Linked DNA regions of Cricetulus griseus. The protein of the gene in region 6 interacts with the protein of the main gene of each other region in a pairwise test. Links are inferred from orthologs where the notes say so. Each region holds a gene or a part of one and is shown on either strand. Other genes may lie near its edges. The genes, in order: Kiaa1217, Rad51d, Ccnb1ip1, KAT8 regulatory NSL complex subunit 1, Noc4l, Krt15 and Txlnb.

Region 1 (3,500 bases), on a different chromosome or scaffold from region 6:
TAGTGAGGAGTCAGGCGGGAAATTAAGTTCAGACAACCACACTGTCAATTAGTTTATTAGGAACTCATCCTTTGCTACTTCAAGCTTTCGGAGACGCACCGCCGTATAAGTGGACATGGCTACATGTTACTCAGAATGCCCTCAGAGCTGAGACCCTGGGCAATACTTACATGCTCTCTGACTAGGAAGTAGTTAGTTACAATGACAAGGTACAAAAAATAATAAGCATGCAGCCCTTTATTTAGTTTTGCCAAGTCTCCGCTTACAGTCCTGTATGTTACATGGCTGTGTTATACAAATACAGTTATTTACAAAACCACTCTAGCTGTGCAAACTTGTAGCTTCTTAAAAATGTATGGATAATCCCATTTGTGCCCATCCCAATAGACGCTTAGAGCATGCATAAAAAGTAACTTTGGTGTGGGAAAACTACTCTGTGTGCGGTCACATACAGTATTTTGATGTCTATTTATATTTATATATTTACAAAAGTTCCTCAGTGTACAGAACCGTACAGAAGTGTACATTTTAAAATCCACAATGTAATCGTGTGGGTTACCAGGTCTAAGAAAACATAAAAAGGGGTTTACATTCTTCAAAGAAAACTGCTATAGAATACTAATATGGTTTTTCTTTTAAGAAAAAAAAAGGAAGAAGAAAACAAAATGAAAGCTAAGAAAAAGAAAACAAACCTGCTTGGGCTAGCAAATTATCATCCATACTTTTGGTGGCAGAGCAAGAGTTTTGCTGAATTTCTTCCTACGGGCTGTGTAGAAGCTCATTGGCTTAGAGTCTAGCATGCTACTTTCAAATGTACAATGCTGTAGTATCAAAATGTTTTGGCAAAAAAGATCTGGAAAGGAACCATGACGTTTTTGACAAAAATAGAAATCTGTAATAAAGCTAAATAACACTAAAATAAAAGAAAATATCATAATATATGCTTTACAATTTATATAGTCACACTCGTGTATCTCTCTGTTCACCTCTAGTCTCCGTAATGAAAAATATTTTTATACAAAACATACTAAAATTCTGGAATCATACATGTTTTACATGCGTAGTACAGCTCATCTCACACGTCTCCCCACTCTCACCATACTCTCTCTCTTTTTTATAACACATGCTTTCTTCATTTAATAGGTATTGAATCTAGACAGTAAACACTATGTAATTACAACAGCAACAGAGCAGAAAAAAACAAGCTTGACTGCAATCTATCAACTCGGTATTTAGCACATACTTTGCATGAAGCCTTGAACAGTACAGCACTATGGTACATTCTCTTGTGAAAACAGTTGTTCCAGATGCTGAAAATTAAAAACAAGAATGTGATTCCACCTTGTGCCTAATAGGATCTGGCCTTTAAGAAGTTTCCTTTGCTGTGGATGGGGTGACTTTGCTTGAACTTCCATTCTGTGCTTTGTAGCTGGCGAGGCTAGGAGTGTGGATGGTCCTGACGCCCCTGGCACCTTGATTCAGGGAGGTGGGGGAGGCAGGAGAGGGAGGGGATGAGGAGGAGGAGGAAGTAGGGGCAGCTCGGCCATTTTGAGTCTGCAGTGCAAACGAAAGGTGATGGCCTTTACCTGCATGAGGCGGGCTCTGAAACTTTAAGGAGCCATTAGAGACAGAGGGGATGAGGGAAGTGGAGTGAGTGGACCGTCCTGCTTGGGGGCTGAGAGGGGTAGAAGCAATCGGTGGTTTAGTAGCAGATGCATTGGGGAGGTTAGAGCTGTCACCACTAGCAGAGGGTAGAGAACTGCTTTTGCCAGAGCTGGGAGAAAGGGCTGGAATCTTAGAAGCAGGTAAGGAGGGGGAAGTAGGCTTACAATCCCCACCAGCTTTCTTAGCACTTCCATTAGCCTGCAAACAAAGATGGCGGGAGACACTCTGTCAGAAAGCTGGTAACACGATCAACACACAGGGCCTGGCAACACAGCCCTTTTGAGAATCATTCAGAAAAAGAAAAACAACATACAGTCCGCGGCCTGAGCTAAGTTTTGTGCTTATCTGGACCCGGCTCAAACCACCCATGCACATAGCAAAGGAGGTACGGAGGTGACAGAGAGGACGACCACACATCACACATTCCACAGGCATCCACGGTGCCAGTCAGCCATGCATGGGGATTGTTGCTGGGGTGGGGGAGTGTGAATGTGGGACAGTTAGTGTGACTTTAAAGCAATGCAGTCAACACAGATGTTAGTAGTGGTGACTTAAGAGCAGTTCAACGACAGGTTGGTTTGTCTCTGTTTCCCAAGAGGTTTTGATGAAGAACTACATTCAGCAAAGAAACCGCCACTGGCCTGGCACCATGTGTTAACAGTTAAGGTCTGAAGTCACAAAGGAAAAGATGTTTTATTGTAAGCATGCAAGAGAGTGGTGAAAAGTTTAACACAGGTTCTTTTTAGACTTTCTTCATGCCCCCAGATCCAGGATGTCTACGTAAATGATATCGCACAAAGAAAACACAGTATTTGGTATAAACTAAGTCAGCAACTGGCTTCTTAATTGCAATGTGTCCATCCAAAATTTGGTTTAAGGTAAAACTACCTGACGGTATTGGCGGGGATCCTGCAGTTTGGATTGTTTGCTTGGCTTATCCAGGCTTCCGGGTCTGTTCTTAGAACTCATGGGGACTGGCATCCGGCTTGTCTGTGGTGTGGTACTGGAACCCTGTGGAAGGACCAGCGAGAGAGGAGAGACCAAGAGAAGAAGGTGAGTGGATAGTTACTGACACTGCCCCACTGTGTGCAGAGAAAGCCAAATGAGAAGCTAGCGCCCTACATGCAGGACAGACCCAGGAGACACCGACTGGGTTAATCAGAAGAATCAAACAGAATCAATAGCTCACTACCGATCGATTGGATTTTAATGTGAGTACCAACAGCACACGGCTGACCCAGCTTCCTGATATGGACCCAACACCAATCAGCAACAGAGGCACAAACAGAATTGATTAGCTGTTAGACACCTAGTTGCCAGTTGTTTTTGGAAGGCGACGGAGAAGGGAGGAGAGACGGGTACATGACGAATAGACAAAAATAACGCGAGCCACCTGAAAGGAAGCGATTAAACCACAAGACACCTTTTGCTACTGTGATTATGACAGGCTTAAGAAGCAGCTGGGTTTTTTCATTTTCCACAGACCAAGATACCTTACGTGAAGCTGAAGATATGGACGTGGGGGGCTCTGGGGCAGGGGACACTTCATCCAGAACTATCAAGGACCGGGGAGAGACCTCTTGGGCTATGTGGGGCGAGCTTGCACCACAATCTCTGTTGGAAGAACACGGGGTATCAACTAGGGCTCTGGGGCTCATTTCACTGATTGTATTTTCAAGTTGCTTTATGGTCTGCTCCAGGCTGTCCAGCGTTCTGTAAGTATTTTTCCTAATTTCATCGGTCCTTGAAGCTGGAGCTGTGACTTCAAGACTGCGCTGCTCTTGCCTCCTAGCCATGGTTTTCAGGGCATCTTCAGGCTGTGACCTGGTGATTTC
Region 2 (3,977 bases), about 16 Mb from region 6:
TGACCTCCAGTGCCCAATCTATCTACCATCTAACCTAGTAGCTGCAGGATCTTATGCCGGTGCCTGAACCTAAGTCCCTATTCCTTCATGTACACATACATAGATGATTTCAAGGGCAGTGAACTCACATTAGGGGTTATGAAGGACAAATGAAATGCATGCCATGAAATGCTGAGCACAGTGTCAGAGTCAAGGTGAGCACTCAGGGCCAGCTCTGCCTATGCCAAGGCTACCTGTCCCACCCTGAGCCCCCACCCCCACCCATGAATACTGCAGCTGCAATCCTGCCAGTGTACCTTCTCACTGTTCCTTCTGTGGATGCTGGTTTTATAAGTTCCCTGGGCTCCAAAGCCAATGTGCCTCCTTGCCGCACCCACAAGTCTCCCATATACACTAACCACCATACTTAAGAGTGGGAGCCTTGCCTCACTCGTACAGATAGTATCTGCATGTGTCTGGCACCCAGTAGGCACTCAGCCAATGTTTGATGGATTACAAACACAGACCCCCCAAACAGTGGAAGCAAGCACCAGACTGTGCGGACCTTGCCAAGAGTGTGTTGTGGAAACAGCAAGGGCCAGACCAATCCAAAGACCTTTGTGATAGCAGTGTTATTCATCAAACTCCGCACAAACAGGCCAGAAGAGAGGTCAGGCTTACTTGGCCAGAAAATGCCAGCTGTCTTCCAATTCTTTCCCAACCCGAACAACAGGGCACAATATAACTGCTCTTTTCAGTGAGTGTACATGTTCCTGGCTGCTGCCTCCTACGGCAAAGGCATAAGGCTCTGGGTTATATTTCCCTGGGCTCACTTCTGCCGACCCCTCCTCTTAGGCTAACCACAAAGGAGGTCAACAATCTCTAACATCGGGGCTGGAGAGATGGCTCAGAGGTTAAGAGTACCAGCTGCTCTTCCAGAGGTCCTGAGTTCAATTCCCAGCAACCACATGGTGGCTCACAACCATCCGTTATGAGATCTGGTGCCCTCTTCTGGTGTGCAGATATACATGGAAGCAGAATATTGTATACATAATAAATAAAATCTTTGGAAAAAAAATCTCTAACATCTAGAGTCTATGGTAGTGGGTCCTGACCCTCCTGGGAAATTGAACAATCCTTTCACAGGGGTCACATATCAGATATTTACATTACAATTTGTAACAATGGCAAACTTATAGTTATGAAGTAGCAACAAAAATAATTCTATGGTTGGGGGTCTCCACAACATGAGGAACTGTATTAAAGGGTCACAGCATTAGGAAGGTTGAGAACCACTGCCCTAGGGTCAGACTTTAGGTGCAGACTCCCAGGAAATCTCAATCCTGTCCTGGTCTCACTTACCTTATCCTGAAGTATCAGAGACTCTACTGAAAACTGGGATATTAGGGGGGATGAGAGGGAGAACTGAGGTTGGAATGTAAAATGAAACTTAAAAAATAAATTATAAAAAATGGGGCATTAGTGACATCATGTGTTACAGGACAATGGCTCTTCAGTGGGAAATGATGTCTCCTAGGTGATACTGAGTCATATCTGGAGACATTTTTGATTGTTACAACTCAGGGCAGAAGAAATGACCTGGTATCTGATGGGTAGAGCCCAGGGTTACTGCTAAACGTCTCTCAATGCACAGGATACCCCTACCCTAGCAAATGATTACTTGCTCCCTAAGTCTCAATAGTGCTGAGGCTAAGAACCCCTGTCTTTATACTCTAAGGGGAAAAAAAAAAATCTCAGGAGTTCAGATGCCTCTAGGTTCCCTGACATATCCAGACTGCCCTCACCGGTCCTGCCCTTTGTAGTCTCCGCATGGGAAGCTCGGCTTTCAAGTTCTTGCCCAGGTAAACATACAAACCTTCCAATGCCTGTGGACAGGATGGCAGTGGAAGTCTTCAGTTCCTCATATAGGTCTGCTCCGTTTAATGGGAAAGCCGAGAACTGCGCCAGCAATACCCTCCTCAGGGCAACCAGGGCCTGCCAAAAGTACGGACACACAGTCTCCAGAGCACCCAGACTGCCAGTGACCAGCTTGTCCCGCAGAGCAATCTAGGTCTAGTGCCCCTTAGCAACTTCCGGGAACTCTGATTCTGCAGCATGGGGACCCGCTCTAGAAGAGACATTGGGATGGAGTTTGCACATGGTAAGCTCACCTTGTAGGACAAGCCACACTTCTGGGCTACCTCCTCCAGGTTAGCAGCTGCCAGGTCCGCCACTGGAAAGAGACCAAGAGCAACCTATTAACAACAGGAATGCTTTAGTTTTGCCACGCTTGCCTTTTCCTCTGTTGGGAAATGGCGTTAAGGTCTTAGTCTACTCCCCATCTCAAGCACGCAGGCCCTGATGCAGGACCCGGAGAGGAGCCCAGCACACAGTCGAGTCCTCTGTCTCCGTCTTGACTCCTGAGAACCCCATACTGAGGTCAAATTGTGGCCTCCGGTTAGATTGAAACGCCCCGCACGTGTGCCAACACCATGGCGCCGACCCCCGCGGTCGTGCCCATGTTATGTGTCACGAGCCCAGGAGGTCACCTGTCTTGATCCTTTGGCCCTTCAGAAGCTGGACGATCTCTTCGGTGAGGCCCGGGCACAGCCCCACCCTGAGCACGCCCATGTTTCCTGCAAACCCGGGGCGCCCCGGGGGCTGTCACATGGGCGCCCGCCGAGACCCCCCACTAGGTCCCACTTCTGGAAAGAGTCTCGGCACGCCAGCGCGGGAAGGGGGCGGGAAGAGGATGCAGATCGGGGTGAGGGACACCAGCCCTTCCAAACTCCAGAGCCCTGGACCCGCCCCCTCCCGGCGGACGCTTCCGGGTTCCGCAACTGGAGCGGCTTTTGTGGCCCAGGCCTGTAGCGCCATCTGCTGACCAAGCGGGCAAACGCGGCGGCCTTCAGGCTAGGGCCAACCACCTGCCAGTCTCAGCTACTCCCTCCCTCCCTCCCCCTCTTTCTGCCTCTCTCCTCTCTTTCTCTTTCCTCTCTTCTCTCTCCCTCTCTCTTCTCTGTCCTCTCTCTCCCTCTCCTCCCTCTCTCTATCTCCTCTCTCCTCCTCTCTCCCTCTCCTCTCCCCCTGCCCCCCCCCCCCGAGTCCCTTGTGTACTAGCCTCCATTCCCAACGCTAGGGACATTCACACCCTACTTACTGAGTGAAGCATACCCGCCTTCTAGTAGCATTCACGTTAGGGAAACAGACAATAAGGAGCAATCAGTTCACACCATTACAGATTGTATGATCCAGTGAAGTTCACACCTGCACCCCTGTATTTTCCAAAAAAAAAAAAAGTGTTTTAAGTTTTATCTTATGCATATAAATGTTTTGCCTGCATGGATGTCTGTGCACCCCTTACGTGACTGGTGCCTGAGGAGGCCAAAGAGGGGGGTCAGATTCCCTTGGACTTGTTACAGATGGGGGCTAGAGAAGTGGCTTAGCAGTTAGGAGCACTGGTTGTTCTAGAGGACCAGCGTTCATAACTCAGCATCTACTTCTCTAGCCCCATATTTTCTGAAGGTTTTTCTTTTCTGAGACATGATTTCTCTGTGCGTCTCTAGCTGTCTTGCTACTTACTGTATAGACCAGGCTGGCCACCTCCTGAGTGTTTTGAATGAGGATGTACACCATCACCACCAGGCATTTTCCAAAGATTTTAGTGGGAGTCAATGCTTGAGTATTTAGAACATGTGAAACACAGTTTACTATTTTGAAATGTTCTTTACCACATCCAGTGGGAGAAATAAAGCAGTGTCACAAACCTTTGAGTGAGGTTCTGTTTCTCTCTGTATTTTGTAGTTGAGTTGTGACTCAGGAAGACATTTATTCTCCGAGTTACGCAGCTAGCAAGCACAGAATTGAATCTCAAGCCCACATCCAACTGCAAAGCCAGTGTTTCTGAACTTGTTTTCTCCCCTCCCCGGAAGATGTGGGTTCGCTTTCTACCTTGTGCTCTCTCCATAGCAGAGAAGTCTGGCCCATTTTTAGAAATA
Region 3 (4,154 bases), on a different chromosome or scaffold from region 6:
GGCTGTCCTGGAACTCAGAGATCCATCTGCCCCTACCCCTGCCTCTGCCTCTGCACCTGCCCCTGCACCTGCCCCTGCCCCTGACTTTCATGGGCAGGACTAAAGGCTTGTACCACTAGACCCAGCCACATAGCATTTTGTTTGCCTGTTCTTATCACCTCATTCCCATTCTAGAACATCATTTTCTCTCACTGAACCTTTTCCCTTAGCCTATAATAAATGCCAAAATTTGAGTACCTGGAAAAGTCTATCACAAGAGACTTCAATGATTGTATGCCAATTTATACAATTATATTAATACTGAGGGAAAAACTACTGGGTTCTGTTGCACTGGTGTAATAAAGGGAAGAACTGGGAATGAGTCACCCACCTATCACAATGATCCTGAGTCAGCCTAGGACTTTGAATTACCTGTTGGACAATAATTACATCCTCACTACTTAGAACCATGCCCAAAGGCACATTAAAATATATTTGGGGGCTAGACAGATGGCTCAGAGGTTAAGAGCACTGGCTGCTCTTCCAGAGGTCCTGAGTTCAATTCCCAGCAACCACATGGTGGCTCACAACCATCTGTAATGAGATCTGGTGCCCTCTTCTGGTGTGCAGATATACATGAAAGCAGAATGTTGTATACATAATAAATAAAATCTTTAAAATATATATATGGTAATTATGTGATGATTGAATAAACAATTAAATGATCAAAGGGCAGAAACAAGAACTGTGCAATCTGGGCCAGCAAGGTGGCTCAGTGAGTAAGTGTGCTTGCTACCTACCCTGACAACCCGAGTTCAATCCCCAGGACCCACATGGTGCAAGGAGATTAACGCAAGTTGTCCTCTGACCTATCCATGTGTATTGTGGCACATATATAATGCCACACACACATACCAAGTAAATAAATATAATGAAATAAAAATACATCTTGGGGCCAGGCAGTGGTGGCACACACCTTTAATTCCAGCACTGAGGAGGCAGAGGCAGACAGATTCCCATGAGTTCGAGGCCAGCCTGGTCTACAAGAACTAGTTCCAGGACAGCCTCCAAAGCCACAGAGAAACCCTGTCTCAAAAAACCAAAAAAAGAAAATGGAAAAGAAAAAATATATCTTGGCATGGGAAAGAAACTAAAATGGCCTTGTTGGCAAATGCAGGAGAGCCTGTGCAATTCAAATCACATGAAAACATGAAACAGCAGTACTTAACACTCACTAATGAAAAAGTTATAGCTCACATTAATTAGTACCATTAAATAGCTAGCAGAGTACAACTTGAACATTTGTTTTGAAGAGATCAATTCTGCTCAAATTGAGAATAATTTAAACTAGGCATGGTGGCACACCATGGAAATCAATTCAAGAGGCAGGCATGTGAGTTTGAGGACAGTCTGGTCTACACAGTGAATTCCAGACCCTGTCTCAAAAAAAAAAAAAAGAAAAAAGAAAAAAAAAAAGAAAAAAAAAAAAAAAAAAAAGAAAAAAGAAAAAAAAAGTAAAGATAATTTAAATGTATGCAAATACAACTGAGAGCAATGGTTGTTGAGATTAAGACAAGGAATCCACAGCTTAAACATGGCCTGCCACTCTCAGTGCCTTCTGAGTGTGCAGAACTATGCAGCACAGTATGAAAAACCATAATTTAAAAACTAGGTATTGGGTAACAGATTCCTTCTTACCTAATGGAAAGCCAAAAACACCAGACTGTGCAATGGTAGCTTGTTCCAGGGAACCTTCTTGGCTAGCAATAGTGATATTTCGTAGCCTAAGGCTATCATAAAGGCCTTGGAGCTTTTGATACTGGCGATTGCGCTCCATAAGTTTTTCAGAAATATCACTAAACTTTTTCTTGTACTCTTCTAGAACTTTCTTCATAGAAGTGACCTCTCCTTTCATAGAGGTCAATTCCACATCCTTGCTCTGTATTTGCTGTGTATATATCTTTTCCATCTGTTTCAGATGGCTCTCGGCTTTGCTGAAATTATATTCTTGATAGAGACGCTCCTGGTGTACCTGTCCAAACAAATGAGAAGCAGCACAGTGTTACAGACTCATCCAAGCTTAGCTGGAAAGGATGCTTATACAGGGATGTCCTTATCATAGTATTTAAAGCCAGGTTTAAGATATAATCACGCCAGGCAGTAGTGTTACATGTCTTAAATCCCAGCACTTGGAAGGCAGGGGCAAGCAATATTTGTGAGTTCAAGGCCAGCCTGGTCTACAGAGTGAGTTCCAAGGCTGTAAGGGCTACACAGAGAAACCACTGTCTCAAAAAAAAACATAATCACAACATATAATGCAGTGATTACAGAAAATGGGATGCTCAGAGAATCACAGCGCCAGAATAAGTATGCCTTATCTGCAAGTAATATACATCCTGAAAGTTTTTAAGAAATACAACTGAAGTTGTGTGTGAAGGTTTATGCATGTAGTAGTCACAGACATAGGGAATGCTTACACAGCACTTTACCCACTGGGACATCTCCCCAGCCCCTAAGCACTAACCTGGTATGTCCAGAAGGCCAATGCCCGGGAGCTGATGTCCAATACAATCTCTGGCCGAAGCCCTGCCAGTACCATAGCTTTATATTCCTCTGATGGACTGAGCTCTGTGCGAACAATGTCTAGCTTTCCAGAAAGGGTGCTGTTGCAGGCAGGGCAGATAGCTGGTGAACGACTGAACTCACCACTGCCATGCTGATCACAGAAGATGTGAGAGCAGGCAGTAACCCAAGCATAGCCAGAGAGCTTGAGGCGGCATTTCCGATAGTTGCAAAGCAACATGTCTTCATACAAAGACATGATAATAGTTTCCAGCAGAAGAATCCTAACAAGGAATAAATGAAAAGATAAGTAAGACAAATTGTAATGAATGTGGACTTTTTTAAAAAATGTACTTTTATTTTGACAAAAAGCACATTTTTTTATTTATTAAAATTATATTGATTTCAGCCTCAATGCTGTGGTCTTTCATTATACAAATCTGTGAATTAAGTTATACATACAGATAGTCCCATCTCTTATTGATGTCAAGAATACTGTGCACAATGGCAAATGTTTAGAAACATCACAAAGAAATACAAATTAAATCTGCCCCATTTTCCAACACCAGAACACAAAGCATTCTATTAAGGCCAGGCATGATGATGGTCATGAAAGCCTAATAGAATTTCAGAGGTAGAAGTAGGCAGATCTTTTTAAGTTCAAGGTCAGCCTGATCTATACAGTGATTTCTAGGACAGTCAGGGCTAGTATATCTCATATGTGGCAAAAATGAGGCTGCACATAACTGCAGTAAAAATTATAAGTGACACTCAAGTTTTGTTTTGTTTTGTTTTTTAAGATTTATTTGTTTATTATGTATACAGTGTACTGTCTGCATGTCTGCCTGCAGGCCAGAAGAGGGCACCAGATCTCATTACAGATGGTTGTGAGCCACCATGTGGTTGCTGGGAATTAAACTCAAGACTCCTGGAAAAGCAGTCAATGCTCTTAACCTCTGAGCCATCTCTCCAGTCCCTCAAGTTTTTTTTTTTTTTAATACATCTTGAGTTCTCATATTCCTTAACCGAACTGCTTTGATTTTAAAAGACTAGCTACATGACAAAATTAGATATGAACTATTGAACTATGCTAATTCATCTATGATGAAGCCTGAAAATCTACATTAGAATGCTTGTTTAAATTTGTTTGTTTGTTTGATTTTTGAGACAGGGTTTCTCTGTAGCTTTGGAGCCTGTCCTGACACTCACTCTGTAGACCAGGCTGGCCTGACACTCACAGAGATCCACCTGCTTCTGCCTCCCGAGTGCTGGGATGTTTAAGTTTTATTATCAGTTAAATAATACATCTATCAATATGGCGATAGTTTAACACATTTACAACTGATTCTCTAGACTGTTACTTTTCAGTAGTGTCCACTATAGAAAGCAATAGCATCAACAGTCATCTATTGAATAATAGTGCTGAATCAATTAATTATACACCAAGGAAAAGGGAGCACATTCAACATACAACTTAAACACGTTCCTTAACAGTGTTATGGGCCACACCTGTAATCCCAGCACTAGGAGGCTGAGGTAGACCTTTCCTTCCTTGTTGGAGGCCAGCCTGGGCTACACAGCAAACTCCTGTCTCAAAAAACAAAACATATTCC
Region 4 (3,937 bases), about 5.0 Mb from region 6:
GATGTATACACTTTAATTAAAGTCTCATTTCTTTTTATTTAAAAATATAACTTGGTGGTGGTGTGGCAGTGCATGCTTTTAATCCTAGCACTTGGGAGGCAGAGGCAGACAGTTCTCTGTGAGTTTGAGGCCAGCCTGATCTACAGAGATCCAGGACAGTCAAGGCTACACAGAGAAACCCTGTTTCAAAAACAAAAACAAAGGGCTAGAGACATAGCTCAGTGGTTATGAGCACTGGCTACTCTTCCAGAGGACCTACCACATGGCAGTTCACACCTGTCTGTAACTCCTGTCTGTAACTCCTGTTCTAGGGGATCTGACACCTTCACACAGACATACATGCAGGCAAAACGCCAACATACATAAAATACAAGTAAAAAATTTAATTAATAAAATAAAAAAAACTCTAATTTGAAAATATAGAAAAAAACGTACTGTTTCTGCCAATTTAAACGTATTTTGAAATGTTAAGTATAAAAAATGGGAGGAAGGGGCTGGAGAGATGGCTCAGCGGTCAAAGGCACTGACTACTCTTCGAGAGGACCGGAGTTCAAATCCCAGAACCCCTATGCACTTCAACGCTGTTTGTAACTCCCAAGATCTGTCACTCCCACACAGGCATACCTGCAGGCAAAGCACCAATGCATATAAAAAGTAAATACATTAAAAAAAAAAAAAACTGATTTCTAAAAAAAAAAAAATAAAGGTAGAAAATGTGAAGAAAAAAAAAAAACTGTTTATGGCTTATGCCTGAAATCTCAGCACTTGGGAGGCAGAGTCATTAGAGTACTAGGCCAGTCTAGACCATATAGCAAGATTCTATCTCAAAACAACAAAGCTTAAACTTAGCACAGTTTTACACCGATCAAAGGATTGGTAGGAAACATAAAACTAAGGCAGCCACATAATTACATTCTCGAGTAGTTAAGAGATAATAATTCATACTTACTATAGGACACTGACTGTATTTCCGACAAGTCAAAGGACTCTGGTAATTCCCCAGGTTTACCATTAGAGGTAAAACCTTAAACACTTCACACATCTTTAAAAAGTAGGCCTCAATATATTTAATACCTTAAAACCAAGGAAGCTGAAACATGAAATCTAATATACTGGTCATAGAAGTCAGCAAGTCCTGATGGCTCAGCAGTTAAGAATACTAACTAATAGGACCCAGGGTTCAATCCCAGCACCCACATGGCAGCTTACCACTGTCTGTCAACTCCAGTTCCAGGAGTTCTGACACTGTGACACAGATATACATGCAGGCAAAAAACCAACACACATAAATAAAAATAAATGTATTTTTTTAAAAAAGGAAATGAAAACACAATTATACAAGGTCCTCCAGTTCCTAGGCAATCGATTCTTCAGACTGTTTCCCCATTCAATCCCTCCAGCTGTACCATGGGGAAAAGACTGCAAAGAATGAGTCACTTTGGACCCCTTTATATTAATATATGCACTCATCCAACAAGAGCAGCCAGAACAAAAGTGAGGATAAGATCCAGTCTACATTACCTAAAGATTTCCCAAAAGTCCAAATATTTAGGTTACACAGACTGCATTATTCTGATTTACCCACTATACTATTCTGGAATTACATGGAGCAGATCAAAACAATCTTAACTATATCATTATCTAACTCTCAAGGAAGGCGAGGCTGACAGAGGACTTCTAGCACTACTTATCAGTTCTTGGTCCTCCCTCTCACTTCCTCACTTTCAAGCCTTAAGCTCAGTCTTCTGCTTAGCCCTAACCAAGAGTTCTTCTGCCATCTCCGAACAGATCAGAAAGAACCATAAGAGACAAATGGTCACTGTCCCACATTGCCCTTGAAATGAAAGGACACAATGGCTACCTGTTGAAAAAAATTAGTGTAAGGGTTCATGAACTGGCCTAAGGAGCAGCAGATGAAGAGTTGTACACATAAACCTTAATATACTATATGAAACTTCAGAGTAAACAAATGGTTAATGACACATCTTTTGTAACACATGAATCAGCTCTGATTTGCAAAAGTGGGACACACCCAAGTTCATATGACTCTAAAGTAAGTACCTGTTTGAAAATGGACCTCAAAGTCTGAATTGCCAACCCCATAAGCCAGGTTTGGAACAGAATTTTACTAGTATGCAAGCTGTAATAATTTAAGGTTTAAAAAAAAAAAAAAAAAAATGAACTCTGGGGCTGGAGAGATGGCTCAGTGGTTAAGAGCTCTGGCTACTCTTCCAGAGGACCCAGGTTCAATTCCCAGCACCCACATGGTAGCTCACAACTGTCTGTAACTCCAGTTCCAGATACCTCCACACCAATGCACATAAAATAAAGTTAAATAAATTATTTTAAAAAATGAACTCATCATTATAATAAAAGTTAATTTGAGAACTTCATTAATATTTTAACACCAATCAAGAACAGCAATAATACAAATCCTAAGAAGCTAATAGTCCTCAGGATAAGTATCCTGTAAGGTAATTGAAGAGTTGTAAATTCAAGAACATCCTAGCATTTGGAATGTTGAGACAGGAAGTTCATGAAGTTAAAGGCATGCTTAGCAATCTAAAAAGTTCAAGGCAGCCTGGGCTACCATGAGACCCTGTCTCAAAACACAAATAGCAAACAAATATTCTTGGTTCTAAAACACTCATATGAAGTAATAAGGAAAAACCAATACATCTTACCTTAAGAGGCATCCAAATAGCATTCATAGTGTCAGGAATAGTTCAGATGAGCCTCAGAAAGAAGCAGGGAGAGACTAAGAAATCCCCTCAGTTACCACGGATAAAAGTGGCAAGATCTGAAAAGGAGGATGTTTCATTTAGATGACAATAATCTAGAATATGCAAATAGCTTATTCTATCTGGGAAGGATGCTAAGTGCCAACTGCCTTACCATCCTAGAAAGTGTGCAGGTGTGGCACACACTTTTAATCCCAGCACTCAGAGGAGGCTGAGGCAGGCTGTCATCTAGGAGTTCAACACTGGCCTGGTATACTTAGTGAGTTCAGGGTCAGGCAAGGCTACTTGTTGAGATGGTATCAAACACAAAAACAACAACAAAAGGTACAATATACAATTCTCTTTGGAAAGGGAATTTCACATGTATATTTTACATCAGAGACCATAAATTTTAAATAATCAAAAATTACTTATTAAAGATTCAGAAAACCAAAATCCAGGAGGAAAAGTTATTCTCCCATTCTCCCAGAGTATTATTTCATAAGCACTACTGAAAGTGATTTATTAACTCGTCACCGGAAAAAAAAAGTCTACAGCTACTTTTATTTAATAAATGTAAACCTCTCTGGCAACTCCAATGTCCTAACTTTTCTTAAAATTAAGTTTCAGCCGGGCGTTGGTGGTGCACGCCTTTAATCCCAGCACTGAGGAGGCAGAGGCAGGCGGATCTCTGTGAGTTCGAGACCAGCCTGGTCTACAAGAGCTACAAGTTTCAGGACAGGATCCAAAGCCACAGAGAAACCCTGTCTCAAAAAACCAAAATAAATAAATAAATAAATAAATAAATAAATAAATAAATAAAGTTTCAGAGCTGATTCTACATCATCATCATTATAATAATTGTTGCTATTCTTCACTGAAGTACTACAAGTTAAAAAAAAAAAATGGAGGGGGGGAGAAAAGATCCTTCTTTCCCAGAGATCTTTAAAAGCAGCCCAGAGGAATTAATTTTGAAGATGGTGGGTGCTAAGTGTGTAGGGACGCAAAAGGATGGACTAAATGACCCCTTCCTTGTAGGAGCCTTAAGTCCTAGGCCTGAATGAACATTCCAGCTTAACCAGTTACTGCTTCACTTAAAATGGAGGCTTGCCCGCGTAGGAACACAAAAATAACACACTCACCTCTTTAAAAAAATAATTTCTTAAATTCAGAGTCGAGGTCCCCCGTTTTAAAAATAAAATAAAGCACTGGGGTGG
Region 5 (4,246 bases), on a different chromosome or scaffold from region 6:
CTGATGTCTCTGTAATAACAGCAAAAAGGGGTCACCAATTTGCAAGAGGGGAAGCCAGTGGCTAGCTGGGCTTGATAGATCTGGACTGTGTTGAGGAGACCTCCAAGGGGTGCTTTGCGGGGGGGGGGGGGGGGGGGGGGGGCGCTCCGGTTGGCCTTAACCTGCCCAGAACTCACGTGCATGCTTCACATAGAAGTTGGTGAGGTTGCACTCCTGGAGGGGCAGGTTCACAGCAGATAGCAACACGAAGGCATTGTTCCAGAAGGTGAGTGACACCTGTAGGAAGTCTAGCCTGAGCAGCTGTCCACTTGCCTCCCTGAGGTACTAGGACACAGAATGGTGATGGAACCCAGCTGTTTACCTCAGGTTGCTGGCTGGTGGTTCGGGCCACAGTGCTTGTGGCCACCTGCATTGTGTGGTACCGGATGTCATCATATTCCAAGTACTCACAGAACTGGGAGATAAGCAGGCTGTGGTCTTCCTCGGGTGTGAGCAGGCCTCCTACCACTGCCTAGGGATAGAGATAAGGTGAGTGACTCTCTCACACAGTGGTCCTAGAATGACCAAAAAGGGTATCACCATCCCACCAAGCTCCACACCAGGCTGTCTGCTATTTCCTCTCCAACTCACAGAGACCTGCAAGCAAAAAGCCTTGCTCAGCTCCCAAGTCAAGACAGAAGAGGAGCCAGGTGTTGGTGGCGCACGCTTTTAATCCCAGCACTCGGGAGGCAGAGGCAGGCGGATCTTTGTGAGTTCAAGGCCAGCCTGGTCTCCAGAGTGAGTGCCAGGACAGGCTCCAAAGCTACACAGAGAAACCCTGTCTCAAAAAAACAAAACACCAAAAACAAGAACAGAACAGGAACATAATATTCCCATCTAGCTGTTCAGGCAGCTAACTCATAGAACCATCTTAGGCTTATGGCCACCACAGTCTTCAGGTCCCACCAAGGCCTCACCCTGAAGAGTGTACGAGGGAAGAGGTAGTGACTTTCCCACTGGGGTTTCTCAAGGGGTTTCGCTCCTTCCAGCTGCACAAACTTCATGAGTGTCTTGAGGGCCAGCTCCTGGAAAGCAGAGAAGAGTGACCATGATGTCCCCACCCTCCAGAAGGCCTCCCAAAGCTTATCTTGACTCACAACCAGGCTTATGTCTGAGCCAAAAAGCAGGAGAGAAAGGAAGACCCATCTTTTCTTGCTCCATGTTATATATATACACCTGTGGTGATAGTGACAGTGACATGCTCTTGTTATCCTGGGAAAGAACTCAATAGAATCTGGCCTGAGGTGTACACACAAGCTGGGCTTGCAGGGAAGGCCACCTAACTGCCCTTTTGTGACACAATTTTGGAGACACCATAACAAATACAATACTCAAAGCAGATATGGTGCCCAGAACCTGGGTGACAGACTCTGTGCCTTGAGGACCAGGTGAATCACACATACCCCACAATGAAACAACTGCGTGGAAGACAAAGAGCAGTGATGAAGACATGCCGGTAGAAAAGCATCTCTCAGTCCAGGACAGAGATGTTCACGTCTGCAGCCCCTACCTCTGCTTTGTGAACTATTTTAGAGTAAGGGGGGAAGCTGGGCTAACAACTTCAAGATTCACCTTGAAGGCCGGGTGTTGGTGGTTCACACCTTTAATCCCAGCACTCGGGAGGCAGAGGCAGGTGGATCTGTGAGTTTGAGACCAGCCTACAGTGTGTACTCATGCACTCTAGTCTACAGAGTGAGTTCCAGGGCAGCCTCCAAAGCTACAGAGAAACCCTGTCTCTCTCTCTCTCTCTCTCTCTCTCTCTCTCTCTCTCTCTCTCTCTCTCTCACACACACACACACACACACCAAAACTCACCTTGACCTGGAAGGAGGGATGGGTCAGTAGCTCTTCCAGGCGGTTACAACAGCTGTGGTAGCGGTGTCTCATCCACACTTTGTATTTGTGTGTGGCTTCCTGGGATCCTGAGGGCAGAGGAGAGCTAACTCCCACTGATGTTTACATGTGCCAAGCCAGACCAAGGTCCTAAAGCCAGCCCCACCTTCCCAGTGTCTCCCATCTTCATGCTTCCAGGGCTTGGAAAAGACCATTTCTGAGTTCTGCAAAGTGGGGGGAGAGACTGAAACACAGTTCCTCTCACTTTGCCTCTAGATATCCCAAACACCAGGGCAGTGATAATACCAAACTCTGGAAGTGGCACAATTAAAACACGAAAGGAGAAAAAAAAAAAAAGCTGCTAAGTATACGAGTTCAGTGTAGCTCTGGCCAGTACACGGATCTCACTTGCAGAGCCAGAGTGTGTTGAATGAGTCCTCCTACACCGCATAGTCTATGACACGGTCCTGGCTTGGGGTGTTCCTCCTGGTGTTGATCTGGCGTCCCACTGGGGCGGCCTGGCGGAGAGCACCCCAACCCTCCAGGTCACTCACCTGCCAGGACCGTGTCCTCGCGCGGCAGCGAGCCCACGAACAGCTCTTCCCGCTCCAGCAAGGTACCGAAGAGTCGGCTGCATGTGCGTACTCCTTCCTGGATATCCTCCGGGTCCTCGGACTGAGGAGGAACGCCAGACAGGGTGATGCTGGGCCCGCTTGTGACTTCCACTTGCCGCCCCAGGGCCGCCCCCGCCACTCACTTGAAGCACCGCCAGGATGTCAAACACCGCGTTAGCCTGGCCACGGCTCGTTAGCACCGCCTGCAGTAGGCGGCCCAGCTCCCCGCGGGAGCCCGCCGAAGCCGGGAGACGGTCCATGCCGCCGGTAGCTGCCCCCGGGAAAGGATGTCTGCGCCTAGCTTAGTCGCGCTCGTGACGTCACCAGCACATGCTAGGGCACGTTGGTTACGTCATCGAGGAGCGCCAAGGAGGAGCGACAGCGTGCGGCGACCATGGCGCTCTTCCATGTAGCCCGGTACCCGGGCCCCGAGGCGTCCGGGCTCGGGGATACAGAGGCCGAGGCGGGAAGCCGGGCGCGAGTGCTGCTCGAGCGGCTGCAGAGCCGAGCCCGTGAGCGGCAGCAGCGGGAGCCGAAGCCCGAGTCTGCCGAGGCGGCCGCGGAAGCGGCGGGCAGGCGGCGTCGACGGCCCCGCAGGCGGCGTGGGGTTGGCGGCTCGGTGGCTCAGAGCCTGGAGGCTCCTAGGGCGAAGCGGCAGAAAGCGGACAACAACGTGGACGCAGGTGGGCCGTGCGTCCAGGTGTGGACCGGGTGTGGAGGCTGCTTCCTGGGTGCGTTCCGGGCTTGATGTTCCCCGTGCTGTGCTGTGTCGCTCAGGCTCAGGGAGAGGCGAGGAGACGCCCGGGGAGCTCAGCACCGGCTCAGAGGACTCAGGTGAGAGGCCCCCAGAGGAGGCCCCGAGATCCCCGGCTCCGGGCCCGGTGCTGGGGAACTTTGCAAGGAGGAAGACACCGAAGGTGAGTATGGTGTTTGTGGGTTTTGTTTTGTCTTTTTTCTTTTCCTTTTTTTGCCATTGCGTGACCCTAACTGCAGGATAGCGGGAGGCTTATGGAGTTCCTTTGGGTATCCGAAATCCAGAGTCGTGTAAGACATACTGGGATAAGCCCCACTGTGTGCCTGGCAGCCCCCCACAGAGAACATTTCTGGGTGCAGGGGCGGGCAGTTGCTGTTCTGGGTATCTTGTCTAAAGGCTGCAAGGATGGATGTTGAGGAAGGGCTGACTGTTCAATGTGCGTGTTGCTCCCTTTGTCAGATCCCCTTGCTGGTCCTAAAACAGTAGTGGCTTGAGGAAACCTGTTCTGCTAATATGTTCTAAATCCTGCGCCCATACCCTTCCGTTTCCAGCATTTGCTCTCCCCAGGTGCCTCTACAGAAGCTGTTGTTAGGGTCTTTTCTGTAGCTCCTGATTTCTAATGACTGGTGTTGCTCCAAGAAGGGCTCTGCAGAACTCTTGTGGTTTTCCTCTTTCAGGTCCAGCCTTTCCTGCCAACATGGCTGGCAGAGCCAAGCTGTGTCAAGAAGAGTGTCACCGAGGATCTTACTCCAATCGAGGACATCCCTGGGGTTCACCCTGACTTGCAGAAGCAGCTGAGGGCTAATGGAATCTCGTCCTACTTTCCTGGTACTTCAGCCCGGGGCAGATATTGGGGTGAACTCCTCGAGGCAGCCTTCCCTGGGCTGTCAGTCAGTGCTCCGGTTTAAGGACTGTGGTTTAGGGGCCCCTATTGCACGCCAGATCAGTGAGCTTGGGCTCAGGTTCCTGGTGCTTATCTTAGGTTTTATCCAGTCCTGGTGCTGTC
Region 6 (4,119 bases):
CACAGGCCCAAGGAACGCTGGAGCCCTATTCACTTTCTCGTATTGTAGCTCTCCATTAGAAGCCCTCCTGTGGATTCTCTCCAGTCTGGGTGGCACTGCCCACAGTGCCATTGTCTTAGAGAAATAGGGCTGTTAGAGCTGGTGGCAGAAGACCCTGTCCTTTTTGGCCTCAGTATTGCAGTGACTGATTCCTTGGCCTCTGAGCTCTGATGTGTTCCACCTGCTTGCCAGCCCCCCTTCCTGCCTCCGCCTTCCTCCCTGTACTTAGGCACGCAGAGCAGAGCCTCTAGCTCAGCCCCTCCCCAGCTGGCAGCAGCTGACAAGGCAAATGGGGGTTAATCTGGCCCCTGCTAAGCAGCGACATGTCTCTTGCTGAAGAAGGCGGGGGACTTTCTGGAACTCGCCTGGGTCTTATCTGCAGAGGTTTGCCCCAACGCGTCTTGGGAGCAAGCAGAGGTTCAGTGACATGTGCAGTTGGCTGGTGACAGGACCATCAATCAGACTCCTGTCAGCCTGAGCCTTCTGGGCTTTTGTGAACTAGCCAGGACCCTGGGCTGGGGGGGGAACTGAAGAGGTAGGAGGGACTTCTGGAATTGGGGTGGTGGGAGGGCTGTGAGAGGAGAGAGCATGCCCAGGTATCAGGGATGGGAGAGAGGGACAGGCACCGGCTTTTTTGGTCAACTCGTTTGGAAGTTGACTTGAGACCCTATTAGCCTGCACTGTGGTCACCTGTGTTCTCATTCCCGGGGACTTCCATGTCCCGAAGGCTATGTATAGGGCGTTTGAGTAGGTAGTACAGAGCAGTGGTGGGAGAAACTGAAAGCAGGAAGCTTTCTACCTGGGGTGAGGCTCACATGCCAGCAGTGGGCTGGGGTGGGAGGCAGAGCTGGCCTGGCTGCTCTAACGGGATGGGACATGAGGGAACTTGGGTGCTATGCTGAGGGTTTGCTCTTGTGGCTCTCTTCTCCTTCCTGGAGTGAGAAATGAACCTGTAATCCAAGTGTTAAAACCATGGCCTAGAGCAAAACCCCATTAATTCTGAATCATCTCTCTTGTTGCATTAAGAAAAAAAAAAAAGAAAAGAAAAACTCACCACAAGCGAGCCCTGTGGAGGTGTGCAGGCAGCTGTATTTGTCTGGAAGGCAGAGGAGTTGGCTCCACTCAGGGGGAGGAGGCAAGGCCCCCACCCCCTTGAAACAGTATATAAGGAATCCCAGGCTAGGGGCGACAGCACTGCAGCCTGGTTTCAGCCCAGCTCAGAAGCTCCTGCTAGAGTCCCTCCTGCTTGAAAAGGACACGAAGGCTCAGGCTGCCTGACCATGGCCACCACATTCTTGCAAACTTCTTCCACCTTTGGAGGTGGCTCTACCCGAGGGGGTTCCCTCCGTGCTGGTGGAGGCGGCTTTGGTGGAGGGAGTCTCTACGGGGGAGGTGGGAGCCGAAGCATCTCTGCTTCTTCTGCTAGGTTCGTCTCCTCGGGGGCAGGAGGGGGATATGGGGGCGGTATGAGTTGTGGTTTTGGTGGTGGTGCTGGTAGCGGTTTTGGTGGAGCCTTTGGTGGGGGTTTTGGTGGTGGCTTTGGTGACTTTGGTGGTGGCGATGGAGGTCTCCTCTCTGGCAATGAGAAGATCACCATGCAGAACCTCAATGACCGCCTGGCCTCCTACCTGGACAAAGTACGTGCCCTGGAGCAGGCTAACACGGAGCTGGAGGTGAAAATCCGAGACTGGTACCAGAAGCAGAGCCCAGCCAGTCCGGAGCGAGACTACAGCCATTACTTTAAGACCATGGAAGAGATCCGGGACAAAGTAAGTCCTCATATATATGTCAGACAGAGGGAAACAGGCAGTAGGTGCCCTGTACACATATGCAACAGCAACATTGCTGTTGACTAAGAGAGTCCTTCCCTGCTGTGTAACCTGGCAAGGCTGGGATGCACCTGCTTCCCAGGCACATGTGGGAACACACGTGTTCCACTTGGCAGTGCTGGGGGAGGGGAGGGAGTGGTCTTGGGAATCTGATTTGGATACACAGGATTGCAAATGAGGGCAACAAAAGAGAGCAGCTCCTTCTCCCTGCCTCACAAAAACTTTCAGGGATTTTTGCAACTGATTGCTTTAACTTTGTGACCCGTGTGCTGTTCAGGCACAACCTCAAGAGTCCTAAATGCCAGGGCTGTTTACTTCAGGCCTCAAGGATGTCTTTATTGTTGATCATTGCTAGATCTTAGGAGACCAGGGAACTCAGTGGAGGCTGTGCCACCCCCTCACTTTCCCTTTTAACTAACTGGATCTGTTTTCCTTAGTGGCAAACACGTTCCTTAGCTGCTGTCCAAGTTCCCAATGACTGCAATGTTTTGGAGATGAAGGGCTCTGTCAAGGCACGCAGGAGGCAGCCACTGTGAGCTGTGCCCAAGTAGGCTGGTATAGTGTGTCTCCCGAGAGTCCTGACCTGACAGAGCCAACTGTATCCATTGCAGCACGGTCTTGACTAGCCATGCCCCCAGGCAATCCCAGGCAATACTGCCTCGTTAGTTTTCCATTCCTTGAAGATGCCACAGGGAAGGGAGCATGGGCCAGCACAACTGATGCACACAGGAAGAGAAGCTGGGCAGTAGTTGGCGAAGGGGGTCGTGCAGCAGCCCTAAGGTACAACTCTGTCTCCTGCAGATACTGGCGGCCACCATTGACAACTCGCGTGTCATCTTGGAGATTGACAATGCCAGGCTGGCAGCGGATGACTTCAGGCTCAAGTGTGTTCCCATTTCTCCACCCCTGTCCATTTCACCCCCTCTACCTAGCCTTCCTCCTCTATGACTCAGAACCTGGGCCCCTCACCTTTCCTGACTTTGGCTCCTCTCCCCTCCCCAGGTATGAGAACGAGCTGGCCCTGCGCCAGAGTGTGGAGGCCGACATCAACGGGCTGCGCAGGGTGCTAGACGAGCTGACCCTGGCCAGGACCGACCTGGAGATGCAGATTGAGCACTTGAATGAGGAGCTGGCCTACCTGAAGAAGAATCACGAGGAGGTAACAGCAAGACAGGGTGGTAGGAAGAAGCCCAGGACAGCCAGTCTTTTGTCACAGTCCTCTGAGGGCTTGGGGATTAAGAAATGTACCTGGGGGGCCCCATGGAAGAGAAGGGGCACTAATCTCTGGTAATCTGGACCCAAGGCCAAGCCATGTGTGAACTGCAGAATTGGTTTGCTTCATGGGCTTATTATCTCAAGGTCCTTGTTTCTTAGGACCCAGAGCAAGAGAGATCCTCAGAACTGAGGGGTCCATGTGTTCCAATGGGGAATAGAGATAGGGTGGTGTGATGTGCTAAGGTCACATTGTGAGTTAGAGACAGTCAGAGTTAGCCCTCAGGACTCTCGATTCTTTGTCTGCTTTATAGCCTTGTCTCTAAATGGTTGTCACTCCCACCCCTTGCAGGAGATGAAAGAGTTCAGCAGTCAGCTGGCGGGCCAGGTCAATGTGGAGATGGACGCTGCACCTGGGGTGGACTTGACCCGCATGCTGGCCGAGATGAGGGAACAATATGAGGCCATTGCGGAGAAAAACCGTCGGGATGCAGAGGCCTGGTTCTTCAGTAAGGTGGGCCTGACACCCCCAGCTCTGCTCTCTCCCTCCTTCCCACTCCAGAGGCCTCTGAGGAGGCCCATGAGGCTCATGTTTCTCATGTGTGACTTGCAGACGGAAGAGCTGAACAAGGAGGTAGCTTCCAACACAGAAATGATCCAGTCCAGCAAGACGGAGATCACAGACCTGAGGCGCACCATGCAGGGGCTGGAGATCGAGCTGCAGTCCCAGCTCAGCATGGTACGGTCACTCTCTCCCTACTGGGTGACACATGGCCAGTAAAGCCTCACCTCACACATTCCTGTCACCTCAGGCAGTCCTTACCACCCTTCCTGCTCTTCTCCCTCCAGTGGGTTGCCTTCTAGCCCAATGGGTTTATGCATCTGTCACCCCACCAGAAAGCCGGGCTGGAGAACTCTCTGGCAGAGGTGGAGTGCCGCTATGCCACACAGCTGCAGCAGATCCAGGGGCTTATTAGCAGCCTGGAGAGCCAGCTGAGCGAGCTCCGCTGTGAGATGGAAGCTCAGAACCAGGAATATA
Region 7 (3,500 bases), on a different chromosome or scaffold from region 6:
AAGTGATCAGTCTATTATTTTTAAATTGAGTAATTAAGACTGAAAGAGCTCTCCGGTGTTTTTCTAAGTAGCTTCTTTTCTCAGACAATTATTGATATTTTTGGCTCTCTGTCTCACTTTTGCATGTCAATTAGCTTTGTGTCTATGCCTTGTCATGCAGAATTCATTAAATTAAAATAAATGCTGAATTTTTACAAATTTTTAAAGTGCAATCTAAGGGATGGAGAGATGGTTTAGAGGTTGAGTGTTGGCTACTTTCTCAGAGGACCTGGGTTTAGTTCCAGCACCCACACAGCAGAGCTCAACTGTCTATAACAATAGTTCCTATGCCTTCTTCTGGCTTCCTTGGCCACTAGGGACACATGTGATGCACAGACATACATGCTGGAAAAACACCCAATCGTATAAAGTAAAAATAAAAACAATTAGATAGTAAATGAAGGACCATCTAAACAACCAATCAAAATAAACAAACAAAAAACTCCACCTAGCAAGCAAGAAAGAGGCATGGCATTTATTTCACTCTGGGCCTGCAGCTGTTGTTATATGTAAGCACCTTGCAAATGGAATATCATTTAGCTTTCCCCTTCTGACCACACAATCAGATGATGGAGGAACCATTCACAAAGGTAAAAACTTGAAGATCACAAATGAGCAAGTAGCAGAGCCAGTATTTGACTGTAAGTCCTCTGGTTGTAACTCATGCTTTTCCAGGTAACAGAGGCCTGTGTCTATGCAACAGCTAAGAAATGTGTCATTCCAACGTGCCACATACCTTCAGTGTCTTGTTGTGCCTCTGCAGCTCCCGACACAGACTCTCAAGTTTGCTTCGAGCGAGGATGGCTCGGTTGTGTTCACTCTGAAGCTGGTCCTTCTCTCTCTGGATCTGTGCCTGCTGCTTCCGTAGGAGTTTTAGTTTCTTTTGCTCAGCTCGATGCTCATCCAGCTAGACATGGGGATTCAAGCAGCAAAGAAATCGGCAGGGGTGTCTTTGCAGCTCACAGAGAAGAAGCAAAGCCTAAGGACATTCTGTGTGGTTGTTTAAAACTATTTTTCATCATTATCTGCTTCTCTGACAGCTCATAAGTTTCACAAGTCCCACTCCTGTATAATGTGTAGGTATAATTTGTAGAACATAATATGTATATGCTCCATAAATATGTATATATAATGTGTATGTACATAATATGTATATATGATTTTCACATAACTATTACTTCTATTAGCCTCTTCTCTGATTTTTTTTTGGATATCTAGAAATATTTTTCTTGTTTCTGTCTCATGATGTCATCTGGTGCTACCCTAAAAAGAAAGACACACTTGTAACTGTGTGTCTGTTCATGGCAGTATCTTGTATTCAGACCATGGCTAGCAATTTTGTTTGCTTGGCTCACATTTCACTCTCATAACTCCATCTGAAAATAAACCAGTGGTGACAGTTTTAAAAATAGGAAAGAGAAAAAACAGCCTCCTGGTAACATAAAGTGCAGTTATCCTCTTTATAATTTGGGGTTTTAGATGTGGACTCTTTGGGTATGGGAAAGCAAGCGAAATCATAACACCCAAACACACACAACACAGTGGGCAAAAGGCAGATATTGATAACATTCCCTGCTGCCCAACTTTGTCCTCAGCCTCTCTATGACTACAGTAAAGACATCATGACCCTTGTTTCTGGTGATCCAGGTGAAGTTTATTCCCATACTGTCCATGTTCAGATACTAAAATATGAGTGTAGGCTTGCCAGATATGATACAAGATACCTAAGGAAATAGAACATCCATGTGGCCACATGCAAGCAGCAGACTTTGGTCTAGAATTGTTCACTCTACTGGACTTGGTTTCTTTAGGGCCTGGGTGTTGCCTAAGCCAGGAAGGGACTGGTTCTATCAGTAACCATATTGGCTAGGAGCAAGGAAAATTCCTGGGAAGCCATTGGGTACTTCTAGATGCCAGGTATTCCTGGAGCCTCATAGACCCTAATGGAAATGGATGTACATCCCTTGTGGATCTTGACCACATTTTAGTTTCCCTGTTTTAAAATTTTTTTCTTCCCCCTGAACTATTTGAAGATTGTCACACTTCCTTCAATTCTTACTTTATTTTTAGTTCTACCATGTTGAATAACTATTAAAAATCCTACTCAGATTAAACCAAGAATATGCACATTTGATATTCTAAGTTATACCCATATGCAATTTCTACTTTTTAAAAATTAACATTGGAAAAAGAGAACCATGCTACTAGGAATAATGATTGGCCTTGATTCCCTTCTTGAAAAGCCAGTGATCCTACATGCCAAACTTATGTTTATAAGATAAATGTGGTCCTTTTGTTTTGTACCATAGTGATATTTAATCTTTGGCTGTGTTATAAAATCATGCACATTAATTTCCTATGATTAGAGCAAGATTTTTCTTCCTTGAAATTGATGTATTGTGTCATTATAGATTAGACTTCAGTTTTGAGGGTTAAGCTATATGTCAAAACTTTGCAAGTTCATCACTGTTGACAGAATAGACAAAAGTTTGTATTGTGCAGAATCCTCTGTATTATGGGCTGTTATGTGCCCATCAACCTGGGCCCCTCTATCTACTGTGTGACAGTAACATATCTAATTGTGACATGCAGAAATATCTCCAATAAGAGACATTTATAGCTCCTTGGTAGACAAGACCAAAGCTTTCTTTGTGTTCCCTGAAACAAATATATACTTTATGTGCTTTAGAAGGTGGAAGACAGATGATTCCTGCTTTGCCATATTTAATCTTTGGCTGTGTTATAAGATCATGCACATTAAAAATTTAGCCAGATCTATTTTCCTTAGGTTTAAAATGAACTACTCTGGACTTCCTACATTTTTTAATGTTTGGATGATTTTTTTCTTTTCAAATAGTTCAGACTTTGGTGTTTGTGTCTGAATGGGGGGGTTTAATGAATTAATGTGAACATATTACAACCAAGTCACCCTCAGCCCAGATCTGGCTGTGAGGTTAAATGATTCATGTAGGCACGGTTCTGGAAATTTGTAACAGGTATTTATCTGAAATTTCTGTTCTTTCTTCTTCATTAAGTTAAAAAAAAATAAAAGCAAATCAGTGCCAATGACTAAATTAGAATTGTATTAATGATTCTTTTTAAGTATATAGAAGTTGAAGAAATTTCCAGAAAATGTTTTTCTAAGGCCATTTCTGAATGTAGTCATGAAGCTTCCTTACTTATTAATGAACAAGTCCTTATTTATTGATGAACACAATGGCAGATAATATTACAGGCTTCAGGCTCTGTAAGCATGAGTGAGCTATAGTGACAGTTTGATTTAAAGAATTAGAGTTGACAGTTTACTCCATATTAACCATTATATTTCAGACATTTTCTATATTAATATCCTAATTAATGAGCAAGGAAATAATTACTTACATGGAGATAAAAGAACTTTTATCTCCATTCAGATCATTAAAATTTTTCATGATTTTTTTCCCTGAAAAGGAAATGTAATT

The links.
Region 1: the proteins of Krt15 (region 6) and Kiaa1217 interact in binary tests that used the Homo sapiens proteins (3 or more experiments, as listed by UniProt). The two-hybrid records come from large-scale screens. The link is inferred for Cricetulus griseus from reciprocal best matches to the Homo sapiens genes KRT15 and KIAA1217.
Region 2: the proteins of Krt15 (region 6) and Rad51d interact in binary tests that used the Homo sapiens proteins (3 or more experiments, as listed by UniProt). The two-hybrid records come from large-scale screens. The link is inferred for Cricetulus griseus from reciprocal best matches to the Homo sapiens genes KRT15 and RAD51D.
Region 3: the proteins of Krt15 (region 6) and Ccnb1ip1 interact in binary tests that used the Homo sapiens proteins (3 or more experiments, as listed by UniProt). The two-hybrid records come from large-scale screens. The link is inferred for Cricetulus griseus from reciprocal best matches to the Homo sapiens genes KRT15 and CCNB1IP1.
Region 4: the proteins of Krt15 (region 6) and KAT8 regulatory NSL complex subunit 1 interact in binary tests that used the Homo sapiens proteins (3 or more experiments, as listed by UniProt). The two-hybrid records come from large-scale screens. The link is inferred for Cricetulus griseus from reciprocal best matches to the Homo sapiens genes KRT15 and KANSL1.
Region 5: the proteins of Krt15 (region 6) and Noc4l interact in binary tests that used the Homo sapiens proteins (3 or more experiments, as listed by UniProt). The two-hybrid records come from large-scale screens. The link is inferred for Cricetulus griseus from reciprocal best matches to the Homo sapiens genes KRT15 and NOC4L.
Region 7: the proteins of Krt15 (region 6) and Txlnb interact in binary tests that used the Homo sapiens proteins (3 or more experiments, as listed by UniProt). The two-hybrid records come from large-scale screens. The link is inferred for Cricetulus griseus from reciprocal best matches to the Homo sapiens genes KRT15 and TXLNB.

The regions. Positions count from the first base shown.
Region 1 is NC_048596.1:212,852,205-212,855,704, forward strand, and holds the end of Kiaa1217 (sickle tail protein homolog), read right to left. Parts: coding exon 3,159-3,500; intron 2,677-3,158; coding exon 2,554-2,676; intron 1,864-2,553; coding exon 1,366-1,863; 3' UTR 220-1,365; downstream 1-219. UniProt on the Homo sapiens protein: Required for normal development of intervertebral disks.
Region 2 is NC_048600.1:96,308,849-96,312,825, forward strand, and holds the start of Rad51d (DNA repair protein RAD51 homolog 4), read right to left. Parts: upstream 2,801-3,977; 5' UTR 2,611-2,800; coding exon 2,529-2,610; intron 2,213-2,528; coding exon 2,151-2,212; intron 1,975-2,150; coding exon 1,856-1,974; intron 1-1,855. UniProt on the Homo sapiens protein: Involved in the homologous recombination repair (HRR) pathway of double-stranded DNA breaks arising during DNA replication or induced by DNA-damaging agents. Bind to single-stranded DNA (ssDNA) and has DNA-dependent ATPase activity.
Region 3 is NW_023276807.1:206,448,730-206,452,883, forward strand, and holds the start of Ccnb1ip1 (E3 ubiquitin-protein ligase CCNB1IP1), read right to left. Parts: upstream 2,801-4,154; coding exon 2,504-2,800; intron 2,012-2,503; coding exon 1,678-2,011; intron 1-1,677. UniProt on the Homo sapiens protein: Ubiquitin E3 ligase that acts as a limiting factor for crossing-over during meiosis: required during zygonema to limit the colocalization of RNF212 with MutS-gamma-associated recombination sites and thereby establish early differentiation of crossover and non-crossover sites.
Region 4 is NC_048600.1:117,493,648-117,497,584, forward strand, and holds the start of KAT8 regulatory NSL complex subunit 1, read right to left. Parts: upstream 2,801-3,937; 5' UTR 2,685-2,800; intron 1-2,684. UniProt on the Homo sapiens protein: Non-catalytic component of the NSL histone acetyltransferase complex, a multiprotein complex that mediates histone H4 acetylation at 'Lys-5'- and 'Lys-8' (H4K5ac and H4K8ac) at transcription start sites and promotes transcription initiation.
Region 5 is NC_048597.1:90,432,644-90,436,889, forward strand, and holds the start of Noc4l (nucleolar complex protein 4 homolog), read right to left. Parts: upstream 2,801-4,246; 5' UTR 2,747-2,800; coding exon 2,630-2,746; intron 2,548-2,629; coding exon 2,427-2,547; intron 1,962-2,426; coding exon 1,855-1,961; intron 1,065-1,854; coding exon 957-1,064; intron 512-956; coding exon 362-511; intron 277-361; coding exon 177-276; intron 10-176; coding exon 1-9. Other genes in the region: ATP-dependent RNA helicase DDX51, read left to right, coding at 2,881-3,169, 3,264-3,403, 3,918-4,068.
Region 6 is NC_048600.1:112,452,179-112,456,297, forward strand, and holds the start of Krt15 (keratin, type I cytoskeletal 15), read left to right. Parts: upstream 1-1,319; coding exon 1,320-1,808; intron 1,809-2,669; coding exon 2,670-2,752; intron 2,753-2,870; coding exon 2,871-3,027; intron 3,028-3,432; coding exon 3,433-3,594; intron 3,595-3,693; coding exon 3,694-3,819; intron 3,820-3,977; coding exon 3,978-4,119.
Region 7 is NC_048595.1:271,868,300-271,871,799, forward strand, and holds part of Txlnb (beta-taxilin), read right to left. Parts: intron 947-3,500; coding exon 776-946; intron 1-775. UniProt on the Homo sapiens protein: Promotes motor nerve regeneration. May be involved in intracellular vesicle traffic.